Linked DNA regions of Danio rerio. The protein of the gene in region 2 binds, or shares a complex with, the protein of the main gene of each other region. Links are inferred from orthologs where the notes say so. Each region holds a gene or a part of one and is shown on either strand. Other genes may lie near its edges. The genes, in order: nup107 and nup205.

The links.
Region 1: the proteins of nup205 (region 2) and nup107 are in contact, whole or in part, in a cryo-EM structure (PDB 7WB4), measured with the Xenopus laevis proteins. The link is inferred for Danio rerio from reciprocal best matches to the Homo sapiens genes NUP205 and NUP107. Residues at the interface, in XP_041443600.1 of Xenopus laevis: Gly1247, Gln1248, Arg1249, Pro1250, Ser1458, Arg1506, Gln1507, Leu1983, His1991, Gln1995; in NP_001091312.1 of Xenopus laevis: Gln134, Glu136, Pro189, Tyr282, Tyr283, Gln770, Ser772, Phe773, Thr774.

What each region holds. Positions count from the first base shown.
Region 1 is NC_133179.1:23,336,163-23,340,210, forward strand, and holds part of nup107 (nuclear pore complex protein Nup107), read right to left. Parts: intron 3,317-4,048; coding exon 3,247-3,316; intron 3,161-3,246; coding exon 3,045-3,160; intron 2,953-3,044; coding exon 2,763-2,952; intron 2,673-2,762; coding exon 2,560-2,672; intron 1,225-2,559; coding exon 1,122-1,224; intron 574-1,121; coding exon 413-573; intron 1-412. UniProt on the Homo sapiens protein: Plays a role in the nuclear pore complex (NPC) assembly and/or maintenance. Required for the assembly of peripheral proteins into the NPC. May anchor NUP62 to the NPC. Involved in nephrogenesis.
Region 2 is NC_133193.1:13,627,642-13,631,731, reverse strand, and holds the start of nup205 (nuclear pore complex protein Nup205), read left to right. Parts: upstream 1-1,290; 5' UTR 1,291-1,305; coding exon 1,306-1,333; intron 1,334-3,991; coding exon 3,992-4,090. UniProt on the Homo sapiens protein: Plays a role in the nuclear pore complex (NPC) assembly and/or maintenance. May anchor NUP62 and other nucleoporins, but not NUP153 and TPR, to the NPC.

The DNA.
Region 1 (4,048 bases), on a different chromosome or scaffold from region 2:
CTCACAGGAGCCCTTTAGCTTAGCTTAGCATAAATCACTGAGGCAGATTAGGCCATTAGCATTTTGCTCAAAATTTAAAATAAAAAAAGTTTTAATAATTTTCCCATTTAAAGCTTGACACTTCTGTAGTTGCATCATGTACAAAGACGGACAGGGATTAAAAATTGCTACGTTTTAGGTTGATAAGGTTATGAAGCATACTCTCATTCTAGCGTAATAATCAAGAAACTTTCCTGCCATATCATGGCTGATGCAGGCGCACTGATATTACACATTGATGTCATCCATTTACGTAGCAGGTAACTATTTTTAGGTGTTGCAAAATATCGCTGCGTCTGCTGCAGACATTGTACAGCAGAAAAGTTCCTTGATTTGACTTTAGGTCAATTCATTGTACAACAGCACTACTCACCAGATAAGCACGAATGCATAGATGTTCACGAATGGCATTCTCCTCTTCTGCAGGAAGTGGTGTGTCCATACCCTGCTCCTCCCACTGCCGGTAGATCTCACGCATGGAGTCTTCGGGCACTTTGGCGAAGACCATCTTAGCAGCGTCATGCTTCTTAGATGCTGTATTGTACATGAGTATAATAGAACAACACTGCAAATCAAAGAACTGATCTAATCTATCTGCTGTGTGTTAAAAAGAAACAAACATTCAATGTGTGATGTATGCATGCGAATCAATGAAGATTTCTATTTCTCTATTTTAGTTTTCCTTTAAATTTGTTTATATCTGCTGTTTACAGCAGACTTAAACTTACAAACTGGTCTGTTTACAAATGGCTTCTATTGATTCTCATTTGCAAGGTACTCTGGATAAAAGTAGAGAAATGTAAATGCTAAAATTCTTTAAAGGATTAATATGGATTTGTTACAAAGTGAGAGGATCTGAAATACATTTTTATAATGTTTGTGAAAGTCTAGTTTATTTAGTGCTACCATTAGCCATTTTTTACACAACCTACAAATGAGCTTGTACAACTTATCAGTGTTTCAGTGAAATTGTGTGTGAGACTGTAACTAATTTTTAAAGAGGAGGCAGTTGATGATATATAAAATGACCAATTACAACATTAATAGATTTTGATATACTATTCTGGCTAGGAAAGTCTCACCTAAGAACTTCCTCATGATGGCGTTGCTCTGTTTAAGTGCTTCAGCTCGTTGAGCAGGATCAAACACCAACCAGTCAATCACATCAATCTTCTGCTGATCCTCCTGTACAGAGAGGAAAAGTTGAATAGCAACACCTACTGCAATGGCTAACCTTAACTAATAAATGAGCTATACATAATGAGTTTATTAGTTTTTTTTTGTAAGCTAATTTTACTTAACTAACATCAATAAATCCAGTGCTTTCCACACATAGATTTTACTTGGGCGACTTTACTACTGCCTAGGTATATTAACGGCCGTCCAAGTATATTGGAGGACCGTTTTTTATTTTTTTTTAAATAATATTATCATCCTTTTACACTTTTTTCGCATCCATTAATCTGTTTGATTAACTAGTGGAAAATCTTCTCTCACCCAACACATTTCATACTGCTTATTGTGTGTGCGCGAGAAAACTGTCAACAACACAGTCTCACATGCTCTGCAGAGACCAACAGAGAGATGCCTATTTGAGGTTTAAAATTGCATCTGGCGACTCCAGCCAGTGTTTGTAAATCTCCTATAATATCCAGGAGTCAACTTTTACTTTCGCTTTCTTAAGTTGTTGCATTTTTGTATTATTCTTTTAATAAAGACTACTTTCCGTTTGGCTTCGCAGCTGACAGCGTGCACTGCGGCGAGACAGAAAGAAAAAGTAAATAACAGATTCTTTAAACGATAAAAATTTATATATATTACTATATGCTCAAAGAGAATAAAATGACATTTAAACTGCCTGTAAAATATATGTACACCATTAGAAATGGTCAATAAACTAATTTACCCTATTTAATAAAATCTAAACTTTCTTTTCTAATCATTAATAAATATCCATTTTAGAGATATGTCTGTTTTTATTCATTTTTCCTGTCATTTATTTCAAATTTGTTGTATGTTATTAATTTGATAATGTGAATAACTTACTTATTTTATACATATCTAAAATGCTTTGGCAATACTGTACTAAATATCATGCCAGTAAAGCATGTACATAAAGCTTTTTAGTTGTAGGAGTATTACATTCTTTCAGTAGTCATTTATCAGTTAATAGAGGCTAATTAGTTAACAAGTTATAATGGAAGGAGCTATAATAGAAGGAGAAGAAAATTCAAGAAAGACTGCAAGGATGGAAAAATAAAATATTTATATTTTACCACTGTATTTATATTGATTTTGTAGTATAATATCTGCGGAGATGTAAACATGTTTAATGTTGCAATTTTAAAAAAACACAAAACTACAATTTAACATTAAACATGTTTACATCTCCAAAATCTTATTTTAAAATCCAAAATCGTATGGATTAATGTGAAATTTTAAATAAAAAAGTAAACTAATATTTTTCCATCAAACCTGTGGTAAACAAGTTTTCATAAATGAAGAGTTCATCATTAGTACCACTGTAGTTGCCGTGTCCAGTGCAGGCGTCAGGTCATGGTGGGAAAATTCATCTGTGTCTCTCTCTCTGATGGTTTCCACTACCGTTTTTGTGATTGCTGCCACTTCCAAACCTAAATACCACAAAAAAATTGGTGACATTATAACCATTGGTGTATTAAGTATGTAATGCAAGAGGACTCTTTAGTGCAAAATAAACCTGCCTGCTTGTGTTGCGAGCTCCAGACAGTGTTTGCGCTGCTCAGTCTCAGTGACTTCCTCCAGGAACTGAGCATATTGTGACACAGCCAAATCTGCAGGAAGGTGACTGACGTAAAACGCAATGAGCTCCACCTGCTTTTCCTTCACCAACAGCGAGATGTAGGCCTTCAGGACATCTACACACACCTCCTCCTGATGAGTTTAAAACAAACGTGAACATTTTACTCACTCAGTGGTAATTAATAAGACATGGTTTTTAAAAATATATATGCGTTTGTATGTACCTTAAGCTGCATGCCCAAACTGCGATAAAACAACACTAAATGTGACATGAAGCGTAAGAGATGGGCTGGCAAAGGTGTATTTCTTCCCAACCAATCACTGAACTCCTCAAGAAGACCTTTAGATAAATTAAGAGGATGTTATTTCTTTGTTAAATAATAAATAAAAAAAAGAGTCTCAAAATAAAAATTTTCTGAAACATACCATCAAGATCTCCAAGAATCACAAACTTCTGAATCACATGGTAGTGCTCCTTGGTTGCGTCCAGAACTCTCTGTCAACAAAACATTTGTGAAGGATCAGAAAATAAACACCAATTTCCCTCTTTACATGACATTACCAATCAAAAATTGAAAACTTTACATCTGTGAAGTTATCACCCCATAAAAACAAATAATCACCAAAACTATGCCATTCGTTTGTGCTGAATTGTGCCGCAAAAATATTAAGCATTATTTTTTTGACCGTGTGACATCACTTTCCACCCCGTATTGCTCAAATGACAAATCAGCAAAGGTGCTTTTTCTGATAAAAAAAGATTTCAGAATAACTTATATTGGCCTAGACTATTTTAATATCTAAAAATAAAGCACCACAAACAAAAATTATATCAGCACAAACAAATTAAAATATTTTAGAATATCATACATGTGGGGTGGCTGGTGATGTCATTGTCTTTAATTCAATATTTTACTAATAGAAGCAGCACTAACGACACATTCATAGGTACAATCCAGTACAAATAAAACACACACAAACGAGACTATTTTGGTAAATATGGAGCAACTAGAGTCGAGACACCTCTGGATGATCTAGTATTATTTTTAGGCCTACAAATAATATTTTTTTGCAGTACAAACGAGCACAAATTGTGAGGAAACGAAAATAATCAATTCATGCACGAATATAAATATAAATATATTTTGGTTATATGTAAACAATGAAAATAGATAAAGTGTTTGCTTAACGGCACAAACCAGGCACAAACGAATGACACCGGTTTGGT
Region 2 (4,090 bases):
TCTTTCTTCAAAAAACTTTTTTATGCAATTAGGAAGTAGTTTATTCCTAGCTTTAAACATAAATTGTGCTGTTTTAGATTTAACCAAATAATTGAACTTAAGTATTTATGATTTTGATTTAATTTAAAAAATAAATTATTTGTATGCTCCAAATACCAAATAATACTGATATCTGATTGGAAATTAATTCATCATTATGTCATAACCCTCGCTTACTTTTTAGGTAGATACTTGTGTTATCTTTGGAAAGTACCATTGCGTTTTTTTTCTGGTTCCATTGGCCAGGAAATTAGTATTTAAAATAGTATGTCTTGAAGCTGAAATACTTACGATAAAGGGCAAAACAATCTATGCGTCTAGTAAGAAAATAAAAAAAGTAAAGTAAAATTGATATCCCATGGTTTTATTATAGTAAAAGTTCAGTATGTTTTTGCCTCGCAAAATTGACTGAGAGTCTCATTTGAAGTTCTGTAAAAGAGATATTGTGTTTATTATTATTCCTGATTTCGATCTTTGTTGGTGGGTTTGTAGGACAGTACCACCCTCTGGTGCTAGAAAAATGGGATATTAATAATTTTCAGGCAGTATGTGAGGCATCAGTCGCTCAATTTCACTTAATGTCAACTATTTCGCTTGGTGGCTCAAAAACGGGTCCGTCCATTGAGTCGTGTGAAGTTCTAAGGGCGTTTTTTTGTCTAATCAAAGATACACGCTGGCTAATAATATAACCTTTTGTTTGTAATGCTTACCCAAACCGACATTCGTTAAACAAATGCAAATTTTAAAGCAATTTTCCTTATGAACGTATTTATTGAAATGGCAAGGCGCTGTAATCACAGATGACTATGATTTGTATGATCTTAAATACGGTGAGAAATATAACATGCACCACGTGACAATGCTGCCTACGTTGAGCAAATGATTTATGTGTAAATAGCTGTCAGGACGATCAATTTATTTGAGAAAACTATCTATACAAATAAAACATAAAACATTATTCACCCTGAATATGTAAAATTAGTAGCAACTTTCGTAGTGTCAGTATCCGCTTGCTATTGTAGCAAAGAACCAACCTGCATGCTGATTCTACCAACTTCTATTTCTATAGGTCCTACGCTCATGTGGTATTTATGGCAAAAACACAACAAACCAATGTTGTCAAAAATAAAAATAAACAAATAAATAAGCAATAAGGCAATAAATAAGAGCATACGAATGTAAATAAATAAAATCTCTTCACAAAAGAAACCGAAAGTTATGTTTTCACACCGGCAGAATTCAGGGCAGCCCACTCACGCTTCAGACATGGCGACGCAGATGGCGGTAAATTCAGGTATTAATGTATACATTTCGTATTCTTACATATTTAATGTTTTATACGATATATAACATTGACTTTTGTGTTAGCACGTTAAACCAAAGTATTTTAATACATTTAAAGTACAAGTACTTCGTCAGCCATTCACTTTATCGCTACCTTCACCAGAAAATAGGCTTAGAGTGTGTAACTAAATGCGCAACTAACGTTACATTGCTTACTATTATCTGGGCTCTTCTTAAACGAGGTATTATTAAAGTAAAAGTCTTTGTAAAACTTGTTCTTTTGTGCGACCAGAATAAATAAGTTGACGTTATTTAAAACATCAATGTCTCCTAACATCAATGTCTGTTAAATTGCCTCGTGAATATGCCCTTTACGTCTAATAAAAATGATACATGGACAAGATAAGTCTAGGTTTAAGTCTAAAGATACTTTAATGTCTATATACGAGTTATGTTTATACTGTTGTTTAGTGGTTTACATATTATTGAGGTCAAGTTGATTTTATATGCGCACATATTCGTTCAGTGGCAACTTGTGACATGCTTCCTATATTGTTTTTAACGTGGTTACTTTGAATATTGGGTCTGAAATCACATGTAGGTTTGACTTTAAACAACATTAACACTATTTATTTGACTGTGAAATGTGGTGTACTTTGATAGTCAATGACTGCTAATATGATTTCATGTTTATAATCTGCAAAAAATACTTTCTCGAAACTATATTATTGAGGAGAAATCTGAATGTGTGAATATACCTTTAACTTTACCTCAATTTAAATATTTTGTCTTCCATTTTACATTTTTCATGTATTTGTTTCCTTGTTTTGTACCTTAGGAATGTTGTTAATGATTGTCAGTGAAATGAAAGTTAATGTCTGTGTTTTATAATGTGTCTTTGTTTACCTTCTGCAATTCTACTGTGTAAGTTCTACCTATAAGTCGAGGCAACTGGTTGCTCTGCTTTTGAGATACTTATAACATTTAGTTTTTTGTTTTGTCTTTAAAAAAGCACATTTGACAGCTTGAGTTTTTTTTTTTTTTTTTTTTTACCTTTATAGGTCATGATAGTTTGTGAAATTGACAAAAGTACTAGCCTGAAGTAGGGCTGTGCGATTTGGGGAAAATATCTAATTGCGATTTGTATTTTTTTATTTCTGACAGATATTGCGATTTCAATTTGATATGCAATTCAATTTTGTAGTCAAACTTCAGCTTAATAAACTGTATTGTAGCTTCTGTGTTAATTAAAATGAAGAACTAAAAAAAATAATAGCAATAGTAATAGCAAACAACCTGAAATTGTACTTTGCTAGCTACTAGATTAAGTGTCACAGCCAATACTTTTAGTTGATTTTTTTTAGCAAGACACTCCTCATATAGCGGCCTGTGGTGCATTTTTAGGTGCTGGTTGCTGTATGTCCTCATGCTGTGGGAACAATTCTTTGACAGCTCTTACAAATTGCCTGTTTGTGTTCGGTGTCTGTGACTTTGAAACCAAAATATTCCCATATAACAGACCTGCTGTTTTTCTTTGATATAAATTCATCTATTAATGCTTTTGAAGCGGCAGATGTCATCATCCCACTCGTTTGCGCTTTCCTTTTTTTTTTCTTTTTTATTGTGGGCTTTTACATACTTTCAGTTGAGCAATTCTGATTGGCCAGAATGAAAGTGTGCTCACTCAGTAAGACTGTCTAGTAAGACTGTCACACACAGACGGCAGTCACACATTTGCTCTGGGTGGAGGAAATTAAATAATATATTTCATATAGCAGCCTCTTGTGATTGCAATTCGATTTCGATTAATTGCACAGCCCTAGCCTAAAGTATGAAAAACACTAGTCTGCACTCTGCAGACACTTAAGAAACAGGAGGGTTGAAGTAGTCTGAAACAAAAACTGTAAAACTCAAATCGCAACAAAATGACAAAAATAATCAGTTGAAAACAGAAAAATTCAAACTATTATATATTATATCATACGTATGCTTAATCATACGTCACACTGACAGGAGGAAAAATGTGAAAAAGCAACTTTTTCAGTCACTAATATAGAGAAATGCATATGAAGAGTTTAGATGCAAAAACCTCTAAAAGCCATCTGATGTTTTCTTCTAAAACTAGCATTTTTCTCCGACTCGTGTGTTGGCTCATTCATTCATTCATTTTCTTGTCGGCTTAGTCCCTTTATTAATCCGGGGTCGCCACAGCGGAATGAACCGCCAACTTATACAGCAAGTTTTTACTCAGCAGATGCCCTTCCAGCCGCAACCCATCTCTGGGAAACATTCACACACACACTCATACACTACAGACAATTTAGCCTACCCAATTCACCTGTACCACATGTCTTTGGACTGTGGGGGAAAGCGGAGCACCCGGAGGAAACCCACGCGAAGGCAGGGAGAACATGCAAACTCCACACAGAAACGCCAACTGAGCCGAGGTTCGAACCAGCGACCTTCTTGCTGTGAGGCGACAGCACTACCTATGTGTTGGCTCAGTAATTTTACATTTATAGTGATGGATAAGTTCTTTTAATCGCCTTTCAAGTGAAATAACTGAACATAAACATTGGAGGTTAAGAAAATGTTTCTTTCATTTAGAGGTTTTTGCATCTGAACTCCTTATATATATATTGTAAAGAGATTGTGGTTCTGTTTGCAGGAGCCAGTCTGTGGGGGCCGCTGAAGGAGCTCTGGGAGGCTGTGGAAGGGGCCATTTGGAGACGTCAACCAGAAAGTGTTCATCTTTTAGATCTGCAGT